Linked DNA regions of Rhinolophus ferrumequinum. The protein of the gene in region 2 interacts with the protein of the main gene of each other region in a pairwise test. Links are inferred from orthologs where the notes say so. Each region holds a gene or a part of one and is shown on either strand. Other genes may lie near its edges.

Region 1 (10,271 bases), on a different chromosome or scaffold from region 2:
GAGGCCCCCTTCTTAAGCTGGTTCATACCTGAGTTAACAAAGATGACAGGTTTCTCTCCAATAAACTGCGCCACGGCCAGGAGCCTGGCTTGGTCTGAATCTGAGTAATCAAAGAAGTCAGATCTGTCTATGAAGCGTGGAGATTGTGGCCCCAGGGCCAAGGACTTGGCACTCTCCAGGTTGGGTGCTGGGGATCCAAAGCAGAGTCTATGACAAGAGCCAAGCAGACCCCTGCCACCCACCCCAAGACGCCACACAGCCTTAGTGTGGTTGTAAAGGGGCTTGAAATTGTTCCGGGAACTTCTCAGAGGTCAGCTGAGCTCTCCAGGAGAAGGCCCATTCTGGACGGGGAGGATGGGCGAGAAGTGCAGACAGCAAAGAGAAAGGCGGAGGCTTGGCCTCTGGACCCCTAAGGGAACCGTCCCCCCAAGCCTTCTGCCTCCCCACTGCTCCCAGGACCACTTCCCACCTGTTTCTACAGCCCCCAGCCCAACCAGCCACACCCACACCCATGCCCACTGCCACTGCCTCATGACCCCTCCACGCCTGTGACAGGTGATGTCACAGCTCTGTGATGTCACAGCCTGGAGCCATTCTGAGCCCACACTGAGGGGAAGGGAGACGGAAGGTGCTAGAGCTGGAACCTTCCCCCCAACCCCACTGGAATCAAGGGGAGAGGTTGGGACCCACAGAGCCTCATCCTTTGGGATGAACAGTGGCAGCCCCAGAATTTAGAAACAGGAGAAACTTGGTGGCACTAAGGGACACGCATTAGTATAGAAGGTATGGGGACTTCTAGGGGCGGCAAGGTTCCACCCCTCTCGTTACCCCTTGGATCGACCGCAGGAGCATTTATTGAGCACTTCTTACTATGCCGAGTACTTGACATGGACTGACTCGCCTAACCGGCTTAACAACGCCAATGAGGTAGGTCCTCCAGGCCTCACTACACAAACGAGGGAACCAAGGCACAGACGGGCAAAGTGATGTGAGCAAAGCACACTTCCCAGGGATGTGGATTTTCCTCCCTGAGGCTCCCTCTGGCCTTGTGGCCCCCAATCCAGGCGCCTCGGGGGCTCCCCAATTCCCAAACTGGGTCTCTCAGTGCCCAGCTGCTGACCCTGGGGCTGGGAACAGGAGAAATAACAGGCTTTTCCCACTAGGTGGCAGCAGTGTTCATGCCTGCCTGCCTGTTTCCCCTCGTCCTGCCCCAGAAAGACACTGCTCCCCAACTCCTGGCCCTTCACCGCCCTTTTTCCTCAGGTTGCATCACGTGCTTCAGGAGGAAGTATTGCCAGGGAAGGGCAGGCATAGGGGTTATCAGAGGAAGCCCTCTGGCCCGTCTCTCAAGGCAGGTCTTTTGGTAAGGCCCAGAGCTTTCACAGGCTCCCCTTTCTGGGTGGGTTCCCCCACAGGCCATCGCATTTTCCCTTCCTAGTCTCCGATTTTCTCTTATATGTCACTTCCCAACAGCCACTTTCACTCCTGCAGCCCCCTTCAGCTTCAGAGTTAGTTCCCCTCTGATTGGTAGGTAGGCCTGTCTGTCACAGGTGTCCCGCCCTACCCAAGCCCAAGGACACTCCAGGGTCTCCTTGGTTTTACTACACAGATGCCTGTTCAGCAGCCTCTGACAGTCCCAGGTCCATGACTACCCCTGAGCCACACATGTGTCTGTAGTGTGTGTGAGGTCGCCTGCCCTACGGATGGAGGCTCCCTCCTCTGCTGGCTCCCCATCCCTCATCTTTCCTGCCCTCAGGGACCACCCACCCATTCTCCTCACAGTAACACTGGGAGGCGCTTGCCACAGTCAGCTTCCCAAAGAAGAAAAAGGCCCAGAGAGAAAAGGAGGAAAGAGGAGGGAACCTAACCTAACATCTTGGGGACTGGCTCAGATGGGCCTTGTCTCCTTACACTTACCTCTTCTAAGAAAGAGGAAGTGAATTATCCAAAGTCACAGGCCTGTGAGGGGCAGCGGGGACTCAACCTGCTTCCTGGCTCTGGGCCAGGGCTCTAGCCCCAGCCCCGTGTGCAGCTGCTCCTGGGGTTTAGCGGGGAGAAGGGGTTCAGAGCCTTTCGCCTTTGCCGTGGAGTTTGCAGTTTCCTCAGAAGAATACAGCTGCCCTCTCTCCCAGAAAAGACTCAAGCAGTAAAGTATCCATTCATTTCTTCACCCAACTATGAAATAAATGTGCTGAGCTCCTACTGTGTGCTGGGCTCCACGGTGGCTTAGACAGAATCTCCAGGGCTTGCTCTCTGCCCTGGGGCACTCAGGGGAGAGAACGCCTGGGTACGCACCACTACAGTACAGACCAACAACCTCTAAGCGACTGCTATGTATGCTGTCTCTTCTCCGTCACTTCGAATGCATTTGTCAGCCCCTTCAGACCTGGCTTCATCCCCAACACTCTCCTGAAGCCACTTTTGCCAAATCCACCAATGACCTCATAACTTGCCAAATGTAATGGTTACTTCTCGGTTCATTCTGCCTCAGCTTTCTGAGCCTGCAGCCTCCAGAACCATGCTCACCGATTTTCTCTAACCAGCTCAGCCTTGGACCTTTCTCTTTTCTATCTATATTCTCTCTCCCTAGGTGATCTCATCCAGTCTCATGGCTTTAAATACCATCTATAAGCTGATGACTCACAAATGTATATTTCTAGCCCTGCCCTCTCCTCTGAGCTCCAGACTTCTCCACCCAACTTCCTGTTTCATGTCCACAAACATCTGGAATTTAACAGACCCCAAACGGAGCTCTGGATTCTCCTACCCCAAACCTGCTGCTTCTTTCCATCGCAGCAAAGGGTCTCATGATTCCTATAGATGCTTCATTCAACACAAAAGCCCAGGAATCATCTCAGATCTCTTCTTGTCTCTCTCCTGACGAACTCATTATCAAGACCTGTAGGCTTAGTTTCCAATAGCAATCTCAAATTCATCCACTTCCCTGCCCCCTCCGGCTGCCCGCCTTGTTCAAGCCAACCCCATGTCTCACCCCGCTTATTACTGCCACAGTCTGCAGATTGGTTAACCTCTCTATTCACTCTTCCCCTAGGGAGAACAAACCAGAAAACGCAGATTCACTACTGAAAACCCTCCAATGGCTTCCCATGGCTCCCGTGTGAGTTCTGAACGTCTTCGCCTGACCTGTAAGACTTTTGCCCAACCCTGTCCACCTACCCTACTCGGCTCTTTCCAGGCTCTTCCTTCGTCGGCACGCTCCAACCTTGGCACACAGCTCTGCCCGGGACGCCGCTGCCCACACTGGACCCCGGGCTGGCTCCTCTCCGCCGCAGAGACAACACTTCCGGGGTGGGGGGCGCGCCTGCGCTTCCACACCTTGTGACCAGCCGAGGTTACCGATTCAGTCTCACTGCATATTGTCTGTCTCCCTACAAGGCTGTGAAGCCAGAGAGTGTTCACCTTGGTTCATCAGAGTCGTAGCACAAGAGATAGTAGGTAGTCAATACATATTCATTGACTTAGTGGATGGACGGACAGACAGAAAGCCTTTCCACCTGCTGATATACCCCGGGCTCACCGCTGTCTGTGTTCCCCTACAACTGGCTTGAGCTCCAGCTCCCCTTCACCTCCGACAAGCCTCTCTGGGGGACACTACTGGGCCTGAGCCAAGCCCCTTAGGAAGACCACAGCAGAGGCTGCCCGGCTGTAAGCCTCTGGCCCAGCCTGCCCCTCCCCTCACTGCAGACCCAGGTCCGCCTGTCACCAAAGCCACCAGCTCCGGTTGTGGATGGCCTCTCCCTTAGTTCCACCTCCTTCCTTATCCTGGAGAGCCCCAGCGGAAACCTAATGGTTGCCTTTACTTAAAATAATACATTCTTTTGAATAGGTAACATAGGCACGTGGTACACAATTCAAAAGATACAAAGCGTGTACCTTGAAAAATCACTCCTGTTTCCTGCCTTGCCCTGCCTCAGAGCTACTTCCTCAGAGGTCGCCACAGTTACCACTTTCTGGTGCAGCCTTCCAGAAATAATTTATGCACAAATAAACAAACACGTATAAACTCTTTTGGCCTCACTCAAATGGCAGCATTTGACACACGCTGCTCTATACCTCACTTTTTTCAGTACAGAAAGGGACTCTTTCTTTGTCATGGCTGCATAGTATTTCATTGTATGAAACTGTGTCATAACTGATTGAACCTGTCCCTTACTCGTGGACATGTAGGTTGGTTCCAATCTTGTGCCACTGCAAATAAACTTGAACTTTTATTATTCTGCTCATGGAGCAGAATATGTCTATGGGATAAAATATCCACTATGTCTATAGGATAAAATCCTAGAAGAGGCACTTTGGAGTCAAAGAGTCTGCGAGTATGTTTTTGCCATCTTGGGATCCACGGTCAGACTGGCCTCTGAAGAGTTGGTCTCCATTTGCCCATAACTTCGCCCACATTGTGTGTTACCAGATGCTTGGAATTTTGTCATTTGATAGATGACAAGTGCTTTCTCAGTGTCGTTTGACGTTGCATGTCTTTTTAAAAACATATATCTTGGAGCCAGCCCGGTGGCTCAGGCGGTTAGAGCTCTATGCTCCTAACTCCGAAGGCTGCCGGTTCGATTCCCACATGGGCCAGTGGGCTCTCAACCACAAGGTTGCCAGTTCGATTCTTTGAGTCCAAGGGATGGTGGGCTCTGCCCCCTGCAACTAAGATTTAACACCGCACCTTGAGCTGAGCTGCCTCCCGCGTGGCTCAGTTGGTTGGAGCACGTCCTCTCAACCACAAGGTTGCCGGTTCGACTCCCGCAAGGGATGGTGGGCTGCGCCCCCTGCAACTAACAACAGGCAACTGGACATTGAGCTGAGGTGCACCCTCCACAACTAAGATTGAAAGGACAACAACTTGACTTGGACAAAAAAAAAGTCCTGGAAGCACACACTGTTCCCCAATAAAGTCCTGTTCCCCTTCCCCAATAAAATCTTAAAAAAACAAAAACATATATCTTAACTATTTTCAAGCATTCAGTTCAGTAAAGTATATTCACATTGTTGTACAATTGCATGTCTCTTACTTTTAAATCACAGTTTTTAGTAATGCTAACTTAGTACCGGCCCAGCTCGGGGCAGCCTCTGCTCCCTGGTGGAGGGTGGGGAGAGATAGAAATGGAAGCAGGCATGACAAGCGTCATCAGAGCTGAGCCTGAGGTAGCACTGGAAGCTGGGGGCAGAAGGGGGATGCTACCGGAAGGCTCCTAGAAAGAGGGGACTGACTCACGGGTGACCCTTGAAGGAAGGGAAGGCCCTCCAGGTGAAGGAGCTGAGGTGAGCGAAGGTCCAGAGGCCTGACAGATCCAGGTGTGGGGGTGGCCCGTTAGCTCAATTGGTTAGAGCATGGTGCTGGTAGCACCAAGGTTGCAGGTTCCATCCCCGCATGGGCCACTGTAAGCTGCGCCCTCCTTAAAAAAGAAAGAAAGAAAGAAAAACGCAATACAGAGATCCAGGTGTGTTCTAGGAACTGCAAGGAACGTTCCTGAGAGCCGGCGCCAGGAACAGGGGTGATGAGCTCACAGAAGTCAGGGTGCTGGGCAGAAGGGCCTTGGAGGTCCCTGTGAGGATGGACGCCTTTGGGGGATAGCAAGCTTGGGACAAAGGAGAGCTGGAGTTAGACTGACAGGTGGCAGGGTTCCGGTGAGAAACGGAGACAGCTGAGGAAAACTGAGCGAAGCCTGACGCCCCTCCCCACCTGAGGGACAGAACTGGAGCGGGTGGGGGGAGGGACAAGGGAGGGTGGATTTGCAAAGGAGATGCCATCCCTGTGAAAGGGACACCGGCCCTTGGGGGTTGGGTTGGGTCACTAGGAGAGACGCCTGAACAGCCGAAGGAAGGAAGGAGCCGTGGGAAACACACAGCCTCGGACCTCTGCCTCCTCCCTCAGGCTGTGAGGTCCCCCAGCTGGGCTGGGCGACCCTGAGATCCCAGGTCAGCGATCGATCGCAGGCGGATCACTGCGCCCGGGTCACTGCGGACCTCCAAGCTCCGCCCCACCCCCGGGCCTACCCACAGGTTTGAGGACCAGAGGGCCGGACGCCCTCCTCCCTCCCCCGCAAGCTCTCTGCGGGTGGGAGCGTGAGGATGCACCCGGGGAGAAAGGGGGGCAGCCTGCGTCGCCACGGCAACTGGGCGGGTGGCCGGGTCTTGGAGACTCTATAGGGAACCAAGGAGAGAGCGAGGGAGGGGGCCCGTGGGCTCGGCGCGGGGGCAGGGGCGGGGGCTGGGTTTCCGGGGTGGAGTTGGGGAACACCCGGCAATTATCACTGCAGGTGCCCGGTGGCTCCGGGAGCTCGTGTGTGTGTCAAGTTTCCCGGGGTGAGTGTGTCAGCGCGTGTCTGGGTCTGTGCATGTGTGTGAGCGTGCGCACGTGGGCACAGGCGTGTGGGCGCGAGTGCCCGTGCAAGATGCGGGTGCCAGCCTGCGTGCCCGGGTGTGCGTGCACTCGTGTGCGCTTCCAAGTGTGCCCGGGGGGCGCCGGCCGGAGAGTCCCGGCCGCCCCTCCCCGCCCCTCGCCTCCCGCGCCCGCAGTCTCAGCGCCTCCACCTCGCTCACCCCCTCCTCCCGCACTTTTCTCCTCTCCCTCCCTCTCCGCGCACAGCCGGACTCCGCACTCTTCTCGCTGGCTACCCTGGGAATCGCTGGCCGCCACCGCCCAGCCTGCACCCGCCGTCCCCCCAGTGCTTGCGCACCTGTTGGAGGCACAGAGACAGGTGCAGGGGGCTGGGCCGCCGGGGGCGTCAGGGGGAGGGGAGTGTGTGCGTTAGGCTGCGTGTGCCCACGGGGCTTTTCACCTCTCCCGAGGCTGCAATTTCTGGCTCTAGAAAGCCAGTCTCAGGAGGAGGCATCTGAGCTGGGGCGGGGGTGGGGGGGTGGGGGTGGTGGTGGTGTCTCACCTTGGGCTGCAGTGGGTGGGGGACCAGGCACGCAGGGAGCTCCTGGGGCAGATTGGACAGTGGGGAGTGAATGTCTAGAGGGGTGGGCGACACCCGGACCAGACAGGCGCCTGGTGCAGAAGGATGGATAGAGCCTCAGAGAGACAGAGGAGGGGCTTCGGGGAGTAGGCAGGGCCCAGGGGCAGACGGAAGGCCAGAATGAGGGGCAGGAGCTAGGAAGATGACAAAGGGACCATCCAGAGATAAGTGGGCAAGGCTGAGATGCAACCGGGACCTATCTGGGGAGAGTGGAGCAAGGCTGGCGGTCTGGAGGCCCCGAGCCTCCTGCCTGCTCATCAGCTGGCACAGGCTGACCTCTCTCTGGACACCTAGGAGGGGAGGCCACAGACCAGGGAGGTTGCTGCCTGGCCCTCCACCGGCAGACTGTGGGTATAAGCAGTGGGCAGTGCACTGGCGCCCGCTCTCTGGAACTTGAACCTCCCCCCCCCCGCCCCCCAGGGGTGCTGCATGAGGGGCCGCAGGGGTGACCGTATGAGCATCAACATCCAAGAGCACATGGCCATCAACGTGTGCCCGGGGCCCATCCGGCCCATCCGCCAGATCTCCGACTACTTCCCCCGCCGGGGACCCGGACCCGAAGGGGGCGGCCGGGGCTTTGGGGAGGTCCCTGCCGGGCTGGCCCCCCTGGCCCTGGCGCCCCCTGCAGCCCTCCTGGGGGCCACCACGCCGGAAGATGGAGCTGAGATGGACAGCTATGATTCGGATGATACCAGTGAGTCGGGGGCTGGAAAGCCCCAGGCTGCTCTGGGGGCCTCCTGGCTGGTGGGAAGGGGACGGGCCCTGCTGGGTGTGTGAGGGGGAAGCAGCAGCGGGCGCTGTCACAGCTGCAGTCACTGTGGAGATTACAGCTTCAGCAAGGCTCAAGATTCAATATTTCTGCTGAGACACTCCACCACCCACACAGCCCCGGCGGCAGCAGCCCAACCAGGGACCCAGACGCACACACTCGCGGCGGCCAGACACAGAGCCCCGCACACACAGCCGGCCTGCCCACCGGTCCCGCACACACACCTGTGTGACACTGCCTCACGCCGCCTCTTCCCTCTGCTCCAGCTGCCCTGGGCACACTGGAATTTGACCTTCTCTACGACCAGGCCTCCTGCACTCTGCACTGTAGTATCCTTAGGGCCAAGGTGAGTGCCTGACCTCGCAGCCCCAGCTCCGTTTGCTCCCACCAGGAGGGGTGGGTTTCCATCCTCCTTCCCCTTCTCCACGCTGGACCCCTGCTCCCCTCTCCATGCACCCCCACAACCCCGGATCCCTTCTTCTTGGCTCTCCACACTCTGCAGGGGGGGGTACCGGGAGCTCACTGCCTCCCCCCACCCCCCAGGGCCTCAAGCCCATGGATTTCAATGGCCTGGCCGACCCCTACGTCAAGCTGCACCTGCTACCTGGAGCCTGCAAGGTAACAGCTTCCGCCCTCCCCTAGCCTGACCCAGCTGGTGGGTCTGTCCCCAGCCTTCCTTGGCTTTCAGCCTCTGTGGCTCTAGAGGACATGTACTGAGAACTCTTTGTCCCCACACCTTAGGCCAATAAGCTGAAAACGAAGACGCAGAGGAACACGCTGAATCCCGTATGGAACGAGGACCTGATGTACAGCGGGATCACAGATGACGACATCACCCACAAGGTGCTCAGGTGAGGGGCCCGTCCCCCCTGCTGACCGGCACCCCCCCCCACAGCTGTCCTTGGAACCTTTGGTTAATCCACCTCCCATGAGCCCCTCTCAGATAGAGGCGCCCCAACCCCTTAGGCAGCACAGGCCAGAGGATTTCCCTGGCATTCCTACCCGCCCCCAACATGTCCTACTGTTCCTCCAACAGAGGACTGCCCTCTCCTGATTGACGGGGGTCCATTACTCCTGAGTTGTGCCTGTTGTCTCTTCTACCTGGAAAGCGCTCCCTCATCCCCTCTTTCCGCCACCCTAAATGCTCCTCATCATTTGAGGCTCTGCCTCCTGAAAGCTTTCCCTGGTCACTGACACCCCTTCTCAGAGCCCCGGACTTAAGCCAGACGTAGGCAGCGGACTCCTGCCCATTCTGTTGCCTCTGTTCCCCCAACATCTCTAAGGAGTGACATCTTAGGGGACAGGAAACTTGCTCCGTCATCCCAGGAGGTGGAGCTGTGGAGAGTCCTCCCAGGCGAGGAGTGAAGGGCAGCAAGACCCAGGCTCCTGGGAGAATGTCTCCTTTGTTTTTGGGCAGTAGGGAGCCATCAGGGCAGGGGCACATGGGTCAGCTCAGGGCTGTTTCCCAGAGGTCACCTTGGTGCTGGGTGGGGGCGGGCTGGAGGGGAGGCGGAGGTGGAAACCAAAAAGGCTGGCCCGTGTTTCAGATGTTGGAGAACACGGCCTAAACCACTGAGTGCTCACCAGTGCCCGGCCCTGCGCTTCGCGTGCTTCCGTTTCTTCCTTTCACTGGGTCCTCACTGGGTCCTCGGAAGATCTGTAGGAGGGTGTCCTCCTCTCCATTTCAGATGTGGGAATCGAGGCTTAGGGCGGCAACTTGGCCAAGGTCACACGGTTGCTAGGAAGTGGCAGAGCTGGGACTTGAACCAGGAGTGTCACAGCGGCAGGAAGGGCAGAAGGGGAAGGCAGAAGTCAGAGCAGTCCTTCCGTCTCTCTGGGCTCCCGCATCTCTCCCAGGCTGGCTCCCCGCGCCCTGCAGCACAGGAGCTCCAGGGGAGGTGTGGGTTCCTTGTCCGCCGGCCCAGGGCTCCTCCAGGCCGTTCTGGCGCTCACACCCTGAATCTATGACCCACATGCGCCGTGCACACCCTGTGCACAGTTAGCTGGATCCATCCGCAGGCCCTACATGGAGGCGGGGATGAGGAGGGTCCCCAAGAGGCGTGAGGGCTTCCGGAAGTAGCTGAGCGGGTCCTCATGGGCCTGGGCAGCTGGAAAGGGGGGGCCAGAGGAAACAGCGTGAGTGAACGCGTGCTTCTCAGGCGCCAGGCATGGGCTCACCAGCCTGAGACGGCCCGTTTTACAGGTGAGGTGCGGGGTGTTGGGGGCAGAGCTGGGAGCAGCCCCCCAGTGCTCAGGGTCCAGCAGACGCCCTTTCTCTCACACTGAGGGGGGCCCTGACCTTGCCGTTCCCCGCCAGGATCTCCGTGTGTGACGAAGACAAGCTGAGCCACAACGAATTCATTGGGGAGACCCGTATACCCCTGCGCCGCCTCAAGCCTTCACAGAAGAAGCATTTTAATATCTGCCTCGAGCGCCAGGTCCCGGTCCGTGTGTGCGGGGCGGTAGGGTGCCCACGGAGGGATCCCTGCGCTGGCCAGGTTTCCAGAATCTTCTCTTTG
Region 2 (10,689 bases):
AGGTCATAAGGTAGGATGGAAAAAACCCAGCGCAGCTCCAGGGGAGTAGTGAGCTAGAAAGAACACATCCTGAGGTCACCTGCTTGTTCAGCACTTCTTCCCTGTAGCTCCATCAAGCACTTAAGAAGCATGCACTAAGTAATCCTGTCCCCTTCAGAGGGAGTCAGTGGAGCCCTGGGGGTTTAAGTGAGTTATCCAAGACCACAGAACTGCACAGCCTAGAATGGGACCTGGACCTTGTTGGACTCTGAGCCAGGGGGAATGTCCATTCTTCCTGATGAGCAACACCAGGCCCAGTTACACCCAGAGGGGAAACCAGAGCTGTCAGCCTTGGCCACCACCATTCTCTCCAAAGGGCCATGTTCCAGACATTGGTCTCATCCCATCTTCCCATCACAGCTAAGTCATCCTGATCCCAGGAAACCATTCCTGCTGTCTCCTGCTTTCAATTTCATCATGTTCCTTCCTCCAGGCTTAAGACCTAAAAAAGAGGCTTCTGAGTAGCTAAGCCTGATGCCCTGGTTCTCTTCCTTTCCAACTCTCTAAAATAAAGTTAAAAGTCTGCTCTCTGAAATCTCCGATGGATGGTCCTGTGGAGAGACCCCTCTTCTTACTGACCTGAGGTAAGTTATTAAGGGGAAGGCTGACCACATCAGCCTTTGCAGGTTGAGGTAAAAGAGATGCCAGCCTGGGGAGGGAGTGGAAATCAGGGGTCATGTAACTGCCAAGGGCTCTGCCCACTCCAACGCAGAGCATCTGAGGGAAACAGAATAGCAAAGCCAACCTCCCTCCCAACTAGACTATTTTATCATGATCTACTCTGTCACCTTTCCAGTAAAGAGAGGCAGTGCTAGTAATCATAATAACAGCTGTAGTAGGCGGAATAACGGCCCCCCAAAAGATAGAGACCTAGATAGTACCTAGAGCCTGTGAACATTACCTTATGGCAAAAAAATAAAATAAAAATGATTTTGCAGATATAATTAAGGATCTTGAGATGGGAAGGTTATCTTGAATTACCCGGGGAGGCACTAAACGCAATCACAAATGTCTTTACAGAAGACACAGAAGGAGATTTGACACAGAAGAGAAGGTAATGTGACCATGGAGGCAGAAATTGGAGTGATGCAGTCACAAGCCAAAGAATGCCAGGAGCCACCAGGAGCTCTAAGAGGCAAAAAATGCATTCTCTCCTAGAACCTCCAGAGGGAGCATAGCCCTGTTGTCGCCTTGATTTCAGCCCAGTGACACTGATTTGGGGCTCCTGGGCTCCAGAACAGTATGAGAATAAATTTCTGTTGCTTAAGCCACCCAGTTTGTGGTTTCTTGTTACAGCAGCCGCAGAAACTAACATAATAGCTAACACCTAATGAGTGCCCACTATGTGCCGGGCATTGCACTAACATGTTACCCACGTTGATGCATTACATTCCAGCCATGGATATGAGGCCTGAGCTGAGCAGGCGCACTGACTGGGTTTGAATCCCACATTCACTGCTTCCTATTGTGACCCTGAGCAGTTGCATAATCTCTCTAAACCTTTGTTTCCCAATTCATAAAATGGGCACATAAATACTTTTCTTGTTTGGTTGCTAGGAGGATAAAATAGATAGTAGGTAAAGTGCTTAGAACAGTGCATAGTAAGTGATCAGCAAATGCTAGTTGTAATGAGATCTCAGTGGTTGAACAAGCCAAAATTAGACCCTCATCCTAATCTATCAGGACATGGACAAGTGCAGGAAAAAGATGTCCCTTTAAAGCCAGTTTGAATAGCAAACATGATGGTCTGAGGAGTTAAGTATTTCTTCCCTTAATTAAGCAATTTATTAGGTTGGTGCAAAAGTAATTGCAGTTTAAAAGGTTAAAAATAAATGCAAAAACCGCAATTACTTTTGCACCAACCTAATAGTTCCTTACACTGGCCTCATTTCATAAAGGGAAAATGCCTGGGACTGTGCTAATTCTGCAGCATCGCCCAACAGACTTCCAGGCCCCTATCTACCATTCGTAAGGAGAGCTATGCTCAGTCATCATCCATAGGCTATGTGCAGCCATCATCCATAGGAAGGACCTAACTTGCAGCATCCACACCTGACACACCCCTGCAGAGCCCACCACAACTGCTCCCTGCAACTCTGGCATCAGGAACTGAAGCCCCTGTGCTTGGAAGCCAGTGGGAGACAGAAACATCAGTCCATATTATGGCCTTCCAAGGCCACGCCAACCTGACCCAGCAGGCTTGGTAGAATGATAAAATCAGAGGTCTGCTTTGATTAAGAGGTTACAGCCAGGTTAGTAAAGAAAAATCAAGGTTTGCCCAGAGGCCCTGGAAGGGAAACCTAGAGTTATCATCTGAAAATTGGAAGGGGGCGGGGGAGAAAAAAAAGTTTCATTAACTTGGCCCTTCCTAATAAAGTTTCCCCCACCTCCCACTCCAGGTGATGTAATTCAAAGAAGCAGCACCCCACGGGATCCCAGGCTGTCTGTTCCCACCTAAGAAATTTGTAAGCAACCAAGGGAGAAGGGCCTGACCTTTGGGCCTTGGCTTCCTTCTAGGCAGGGTTCCGGCCCCACAATCTTGGATGCCCAGCTTCAGAAGCCCCCTGCTGCTACTGCTGCTGCCTTGTGCTGGGATCAGGCCTCTTCGCAGCAGGCAGCAGGGGCAGCCACCTGCGCTTTCTCTGCCTTTCCCTACTCAACCCTCCTTGGGGAAGAAGGATGTTGGAGGACAGCTCCCCCCCCCCCTTATTCTCAGGCACCCACAGATTTCTGCGCTGCCATCACCACTGACAAGAACTCAGGTCCCCTGAAAGAACTGCTTTCCTTATTCCTTCCTCCCGATCAATGAACACGCAGCAACACCCACGATCCCGCTCCTCCTACTCCGGTGAGAGACCCAACCAGAGAGCAGCATCCGGACCTGGAAGCCGCTGCAGTGGGAGCGCCGGCCTCACTGCCCCGCTGGTCCCTTACCGTCTCGCAGCCATCAAGAGGATCCTAAGCTAGCCCTGCGTTCCGGATCAAGAGGATACCTAAATCCCCAATGGGGCCCCGCCTCCCCAGGGGCTCCGCGGTTAGCGGACAACAGCTTAGCCCCACCCGCGGAGGCCGGACGCTGGGAACGGTTCCCGGGACTCGAACCAGGTGCCGTCTCCTTGAGACATGCCTCACCTTAGGCATTCCCAGCAAGTCCCCCGTACAGCGCTCCCGCGCGGCATCTTCCCCTGCACCCCGGTGGGGAGGAGATGAGAGCCGGGCTCCTGCGCGCCCATCCTGCCCTCAACAGGACGTGGGCAGCGGGGAGCGCGCCGCCCGTCCCGCAGGCGCCGGGAGGCGAGCTGGAGCGAAGCCGAGGGTCTGCCGCTTGGGACGGGAGGGGTCGCAAGGGCTGCAAGCCCGGCTACTTACGCGCGGGCTCTGGGGAAGCCCATGGACAAGAGCACGTCCAGCGCCGATCCATGCTTGATGGTGCCGGGGCGCTGCTGGCGGTTCCTCCGCGGGGTGACTTTGCTGTACAGCTCTTCTCTCGCGGCCATGCCAAGCGGGGTGGGGTGGCCGTACTGAGCCATGGCTCAGAGGCCAGCCATCGCCGGGGAAGATGCTCGAGTCGGATCGTCCCGGAGGGAGGAGGGAGCTAGACTACGGTAGGGCAGGGGGCTCCGGGCCGAAAGCCGGGCGGGAGGCGGCGGAGAGGGCGGAGGCGGCGCAGAGCTTCCCGGGTGTCGAGATTCTGACGCTTCCTGGTGAGGCCACCGAAGCCAGAACGGCCCGCCAGCAGCTTCGGCCCGGCCAGCAATTCGGCTACTCGGGCCTCCGGGTGCCCCCAGCGCGGCGTCTGCAGCAGCTTCGCTCCTCCGCCTCCTTCCTTCTCTTCTCCCAGCAGTCCGGGAATTTGCAATGAGTAATTTTTGAATGGATCAAAAAGGAAAAGGAACCTTGTGGGTTGGCCCTGCCTTGCCTGTGCCCGGGCCCCGCCCCTCTCTTAAAGCTGCCGCGCCGCCGGAGGCTGCTGGAGGCAGCGCACAGGCTGTAGAGTCCGGTGCTTCTAGATGGAAAATTGGAACCAGCGTAGGCTGCTTGTGCGTTGGGATCCGAGAGTTGTTCCCAGCGCCCCTACCTTCTCCATGCCTTGCATATAGGGCCAGATGGGCCTCAAGACACCAGATCAATCAATGCAAGTTTCAAGTCCTTCTAGATGGGGTTAATAACGGAAACTGAGAGAACCAATGGATGACATTAATGAGCTACAGGGCCAAGACAGAAGGCCCAGATAAAAGGTTTTGCTTTCAACAGACTCTGCAAAACCTAGAGGATTGTTATGGCCGTTGAAGACCAATTCTATCAGCCCGACAAGTGGCCATACTGAAAACATAACATGCTCTCCATGAATAAGATAGTGACGTCAGGGTAAAGAGTAGGACCTCAGGCTCTCAGTTCTGGTTGGAGAGAGGAAAAAGAGGGACAGGACAGGGCAGAAAGAGGAAGAGAAAAGAAGATGAAAGGAGGAAGGAGGAGGAGAGACAGGACGTGGGAAGTAGAAGGAAGGTGGAGGGAGAAGGAACGGAGAAAGCACGCTCTCTAACTGTAAGATGCTGTTGATTTTGGTGTTGCTTTATAAGGCATCTAAACATTTTACCAGGGGAAATGGTACAGCTTAATCCTCCTAGCCCAGAATTGGTTTTCTCGATGGTTTTCTCAAATGGAATGGGTTGATTTTCATTAGAGAATGAGTTCGCTGTCAATAAAAGGATTCAAAGAAAGACTGGATCATCACTGGTGAGCCGTCAGGAATAAGCGAATTGCTTCGTAGGTTGGACAAAACTACTCACACCTCAAACAAGATGGACTTCTTACCCACACCTAGTCTCCCATGCCCCACGTCATGAGCTTGCCCGGGAGATGTTAAGGCTCTTTCATTCCGAGATAACTTATTGTACTCAGTCAGAGACAAAGACCCCACTTGGTGTAATGGAAAAGGCACAAAGTAAACCCTAGCTGCTCCTCTTTTTCAGGTAATGATAATAATAAAACTTAACATTTATTAGACTCTTCTATGTGTCAACCATTATGCTAAACATAATAAATGAATTAATTCGTTGAATTTTTACAATGACCCTATGCAATGTATATGATTACTATCCCAGTTTCACAGATGAGAAAACAGCTCTGAGAGGTTGAGGAAGATCTTAGAGCTGGTAAGTGCATAGCCAGAGCTTTTATCCACTGTGGTGCTCTGGGCAAGTTGCTTCTGCCTTGGACAGCCCCATGTCCTTATCTGTATGCATCATAGTACCTAGCATTACACGCACTGGGTTCTCAAAAAATGTCAGCTCTTTCCCCTGTTTGGAGTGTGGAGGAGGGATGGTGACCACACTCCCGAGCAGCTTTTTGGTGTTGCTTTATAAGGCATCTAAACATTTTACCAGGGGAAATGGTACAGCTTAATCCTCCTCGCCCAGAATTGGTTTTCTAAAGAATATCCAGTGGTATTTGGAGTGAAGAGATAAGGACTACTGGGGCTTAAGCAACAATGTGCATAATTCTGCCTCCTGCTGTGTAAGGGATGAGGGAAAGTTCATACTTCCTGGGTAGATAGAAGCTTCTGTCAGAGCAGAGGAAATGTGCTGGACTTGCAGAGTGCTTCTCCAAGGCATGAAGCAGAGACAGGACTGGGCTGGAAAAACAACACCTAGTAGACATTCTCCTTGGGATGTGTTCAGTAAAGGATGCTGGACCTTACCCAATATTCTGAACTTCTCCTTCTTTCAGCCTGGGCTGAAAGTCAAATGATCTGGAGCCTAGTCAAGAGCTACTAAAGCCTGTGGAAGTATTTTGTAAACCATGAGCACTACACAATATAATAGTTCAAATTGATTGAGAACTTGCTATATGCTGTTGCTGTTGTTGGGTTCTTAAACATATAACTCATTTACTCTCTCAACAAGGCAATGAAGTAGGTACTACCATGTTACCATCAGCCACTTTACAAATGATATTGAAGCAGACAGAAGTCAAGTATCTTGTCCAAGATCATATGGCTAGTAAGTAGTAGAACCAGGATTTGAACTCTTAAAATTTGCCCAAACAACCATTTGTCACCATTGTTAAGATGACGAAGAGATGCCAACCATTGAAATAACATGGTCCCTTTTGACTCCTTTTATGCCCCTTGACATAAAATTGCTGGATCTGTTTCTCCAGAAAAATTGAATTAATTGTCTTTGTAGAAGTGGAAGAAACTTTCCTCTACCCTCGAGGTTCTATACAGATTAGCAAAATAAAATAACCAAAATTAGTACTTATGTACACATTGGGACCCCACATAAATGAGACCTCACATGCAAGACAGTTTCAAAGACACAAAGGGAAAATGGGTATCTAAGACATTCTGAGCAAGAGAAGAGGTAAGGTGCTTTGGGGGCTTCAAAGGGTCATTGCAGGACGATAAGAAGGACAGGTATTCAGTAGTTAGAAGTTTGCCTTGCCCTACAGATAGGTCAAAAAAGATTATCTCTGATAATCTCTTATTATGGGCAAGGTCCCTTATTCAAATTCTTCTAGATAGTAAAGGTGGGGGGCAAGGGGCAGAAGTTTTTCTTAAGCCTGAAGCCAAAGTTGCCTTTAGTTCAGAACAATCCATATTCCACTGAGGCACATCTTGGGGTGATTTATTCTGAACCCCTATATTTTTCTCCCTGCCGATAGGCAAACTGTAAGAGGAAATGATGGATATAAAAATATTTTTAGGTAGCCTGAAAAAAAGCAGTGTGGAAAACCAGATACCTTAGATGTAAAACTGCTTTGTCTGGGACTTGCAGAAATCCCAGCCTGATTTCCTCACCCTTCTTCAGCTCAGTGCTGGCACTCAGACTGCTGCCATTTGTTCTGCAAGGGGTAGAGGGGTTAACAATTAAGATACATTGTGTTTTAATTGTATTGACCTTGAACAACTAAAGAAAGCTTTATAAATGCCCATATTGTTATATTACAAAGAAAAGAGACATGACTATGCATCTAACCAGATATCTGATGACAGTAGTGGGAGGAGTGAGGCATAAATGGGGACTTGCAGAGTGAGGGAGCTGACACATCAGCACTCAGTTACTTCCTCAGAAGAACAAGCTAGTTATCATGTACCCCTGCACCAATGGGTCATGTCAGGATCTACCTTGAGACACACACCTCTTTCGTGCACACAGTTTAACTCCACCCCCACTGGCCCCAGCCACTCTTTTAGTGTGTTAGCCCTTCTGAAATGGCCGCAGGGCTGGCCAGGATGGGGATCCAGTTAACTGAACTCATAATTTCTGAAGTGTATCCTATGTGTTTTCCTTCTCCTTCTCTCCACCCTTGAGAAAATTTCAAGTGATTGCGTTAAGAACAGGTAGACTTTAGTCTACAGAATGTCTCCAGTTCTGAGGGCTGCAATGGTGCCATGGCAAATGAAGGTAGTTTTCAAACCACTAGAAATGACTTTAGCCCCTAGACTTCAAAGGGATTCCTCATGGCCAGAAGATTTTGAAACCCTGTGGTAAGGACAGAAAGGGAAGACCATGGGAGGGCTCCAGAAATGGGAGTCGGGAAGCCTGGGTGTTGACTGTGACCTGGAAGTGTTCTCTGCCCCTCTCGGGGTCTCAGCTTCCTCACCTGCCAAATGAGGGGGTGGCTTAGGCTGGGGATTCCTAGGACTTTGCCAAAGGACCCTTGATGTAGGTGATGTTGGATCTGCCAGCAGTTTCTGAGTGTGGGCCTGGATCGTGTCTCGTGAAGCCGAAGAATGGAAACACGGACCAGGGAGAGGCAACAAGTTTTAAAAAGAGGATAGTTTATTAGAGGCAGGAGAAGAGGTTGCAGCTCCCGAGCAGGAGGGGATCCCGAATGGGGGGTGCCCCATGACTGAGGCAAAAGCTCTTACTTTTATACCTTCCCTTTGCCTGTTTGGGGAAGGGGAGCTCTTTGGAGAAGGGAACTTGTCTGAAGAAGGGAACTGGCGCCTTCTAATGAAATTTGTCTACCAGGTTTCTTCTGCTTGCTCATCCTGAAGGAATTAGCAAGGTAACCCACTCTTATCTATCAGATCAGCTCCGTTTGGCCAAAAGGAGTTTTATGATTAACCTAAAGGCCTTGTTACATTATGTCCTGGAGCGAAGGAGTGATTTCAAAACCTGAAGTTTTAGGATATGGCTGTCTTTTCTTTATTTTACCAGGGACCTACCTATATACCTAGCAATCATACTAACTAACCTGTCTCACCCTCAGGGACTCTTTATGAATAAGGGTTGCAGTTACTCATCTGAAGGTTGAGTAGGCGAAGCATGGCATCTCTCCTCTTTTCAGAGCAGGTACACGTTCTTAGCTTTATGTCTTGGGGGTTTTATGTTTGCTTTTCTGTGAAAAGGTGGTTTAGAAGATCAAAAAACATTCTGAAAAACACTGTGTCAGATGATCTTTAATGCCCAGTTTATTTCTGAATGGCCATAATTTAATAAAAAGAAAAGTAAAGAGGAATGGAGCAGGACTGACAAGAGGGAGAAGAGATTGCTGGGAAGGAAAGGACAGCTGAGGAGTGAGTTGTGGAGAGAGGACAGTGGTCCTCTACGCAGGTGAAATCTTAGAGTGAAGTGGACTTTAAAAATAATGTTATTCACACTATTAGAAGAAATTATAATTATGGGACTGGACAGAACATCACAATGGCAGTCATATTGTAGTATTAATGTATCAGATCAGTATGTTGTTCACTGCAAACTTACACAATGTTATATGTCAATTAGAACTCAATAAAATAAAATAAAATAAAATAAAATAAAAAGTCATTCATTCTTATATCTTGAGGCATAATTGTAACAAATCTAAAGACCTGGAGATTGGTGACTATTTCACAGTCTGAAATTTGTCCCTAGGACTTAACATAGTACTGAGACAGGGTAGTTATCATGTCCCTAGGTAGACAGGGAAGTCCCTGGTGGACTAAACAAAGACAGCCATATCCTGAAACTCCAGGTTTTGAAATCACTCTTTCGCTCCAGGACATAACGTAACAAGGCCTTGAGGTTAATCATAAAATTCCTTTTGGCCTGACAAATGGAGCAGATTTGATAGATAAGAGTGGGTTACTTTGCTAATTCCTTCAGGATGGGCAAGCAGAACAAACCTGGTAGACGAATTTCATTAGAAGGCGCCAGTTCCCTTCTTCAAACAAGTTCCCTTCTTCAAACAGCTTCCCTTCCCCAAACAGGCAAGGAAAGGTATAAAAATAAGAGCTCTTGCCTCAGTCAGGGGCCACTCCCATTCGGGACCCCCTCCCACTCAGGAGCTCTGACTCTTTGCTTTTAATAAACTATCCTCTTTTTAAAACTCTTTGCTTCTCCTGGATCTGTGTTTCCATTCTTCTGCTTCATGAGACCCGATCCTGGCCTACACCCAGAAACTGCTGGCAGATCCAACATCATCTATATCATTTGGGGACTCATGGGAAAAATGTTCCTACATCAGTACTGGGCACATAGAAAGTGTGTAGTAACATTTACATGATTGTTGATGGATTGTTTAATCTCTGAAGCCATGTCACACAATAGGAAAAACTAAGGCTGAAACAGTTTGGAGCATCACTCCAATCCAATAAAAAGATTATATTTTTCTCACATTGAAAAAAATTAAGATCTCTCCCTCAATTGCAAAAGCAAGAAAGAGAGGTGGGAGGGGTATCTATTTTTATTTCTTTTTCGCCCATCTCTGAACAAAAATCCCAGCATGTCTATTCTGGAATTCTCATAGGAGATACTCCATTGTCCATGTTTCCTCCTTGTAAAGGCCCCACTGCCCCAGGTTCTGTGTCCCTAATTTGCTTCATAACAATAGAAGTGTTGTGAAATAAACAGTACAAGTTAAAAAAAAAAAAAAGAGTTTGTTTCCTCTTCTCACACAACTTTCTTTTTTATATAAAAGGAAATGTATGGGCAGCATAGGGGAATTTTTATTTCTAAGTAACAGAATAAAATTAGGTAGAGGTAAAAACCTAGATATGAGGAGGAAAAAATAAAAAACAAAAATTTGCTTTAAAAGAGTGGAAACAATGCTGTCTCTGAAATGGACATCAGGACTTTTTCACAAGGTTGGCGGCAGAGGGGCAGAAGGAAATATAGAGGAGGGATGTATGCAGATGTGTTCATATTTATATTTTCGTGATAACCACTGAAGAGTGTGAATCTTTTTTGGCTGTACTATAAGAATACAATGTTAAGTAATTCAGTGGAAACTTGCTTGCTAATATTTGAAAAGTATAAATCAGATAATGAATTCTCTTAAAAGAATTATACTTTGTGTCCTCTGTTGCTTTATGTCTTATTCTTAATCAAACATTAAGGGCATGCAGTGTTTTAATATCTTTATCTACAGGCCTGTTGCCATTTTTGTCTTTATGAAATTTTTGTCATCAAGAAAGGCAGAATTACATATTTTTTTCCTCCAGATTGAGTTGGTGTAGTGTATTCTTGGTTATCAAAATAAACATATAGCTTTGGAACTTTGAAATATTTGTGATGTGTGAAAAAGCATGACACATAACTGTACTATCTTAATTATATAAAAATGAATGCTTAGTTGTGTAAATGATGCAGGATAGTTAGCATGTCCCTAGGTAGACAGGGAGGTCCCTGGTGGAATAAAGAAAACACAGTCATATCCTAA

What was found.
Region 1: the proteins of UBASH3B (region 2) and DOC2A interact in binary tests that used the Homo sapiens proteins (3 or more experiments, as listed by UniProt). The link is inferred for Rhinolophus ferrumequinum from reciprocal best matches to the Homo sapiens genes UBASH3B and DOC2A.

The regions. Positions count from the first base shown.
Region 1 is NW_022680357.1:990,367-1,000,637, reverse strand, and holds the start of DOC2A (double C2-like domain-containing protein alpha), read left to right. Parts: upstream 1-5,949; 5' UTR 5,950-6,024; intron 6,025-6,246; exon of another isoform or gene 6,247-6,327; intron 6,328-6,610; 5' UTR 6,611-6,722; intron 6,723-7,403; 5' UTR 7,404-7,412; coding exon 7,413-7,677; intron 7,678-8,018; coding exon 8,019-8,098; intron 8,099-8,295; coding exon 8,296-8,370; intron 8,371-8,493; coding exon 8,494-8,603; intron 8,604-10,069; coding exon 10,070-10,196; intron 10,197-10,271. Other genes in the region: C15H16orf92 (fertilization-influencing membrane protein), read right to left, coding at 29-187, 470-533. UniProt on the Homo sapiens protein: Calcium sensor which most probably regulates fusion of vesicles with membranes. Binds calcium and phospholipids. May be involved in calcium dependent neurotransmitter release through the interaction with UNC13A.
Region 2 is NC_046308.1:37,594,477-37,605,165, forward strand, and holds the start of UBASH3B (ubiquitin-associated and SH3 domain-containing protein B), read right to left. Parts: upstream 3,900-10,689; 5' UTR 3,570-3,899; coding exon 3,409-3,569; exon of another isoform or gene 3,273-3,408; coding exon of another isoform or gene 3,172-3,272; intron 1-3,171. UniProt on the Homo sapiens protein: Interferes with CBL-mediated down-regulation and degradation of receptor-type tyrosine kinases. Promotes accumulation of activated target receptors, such as T-cell receptors and EGFR, on the cell surface.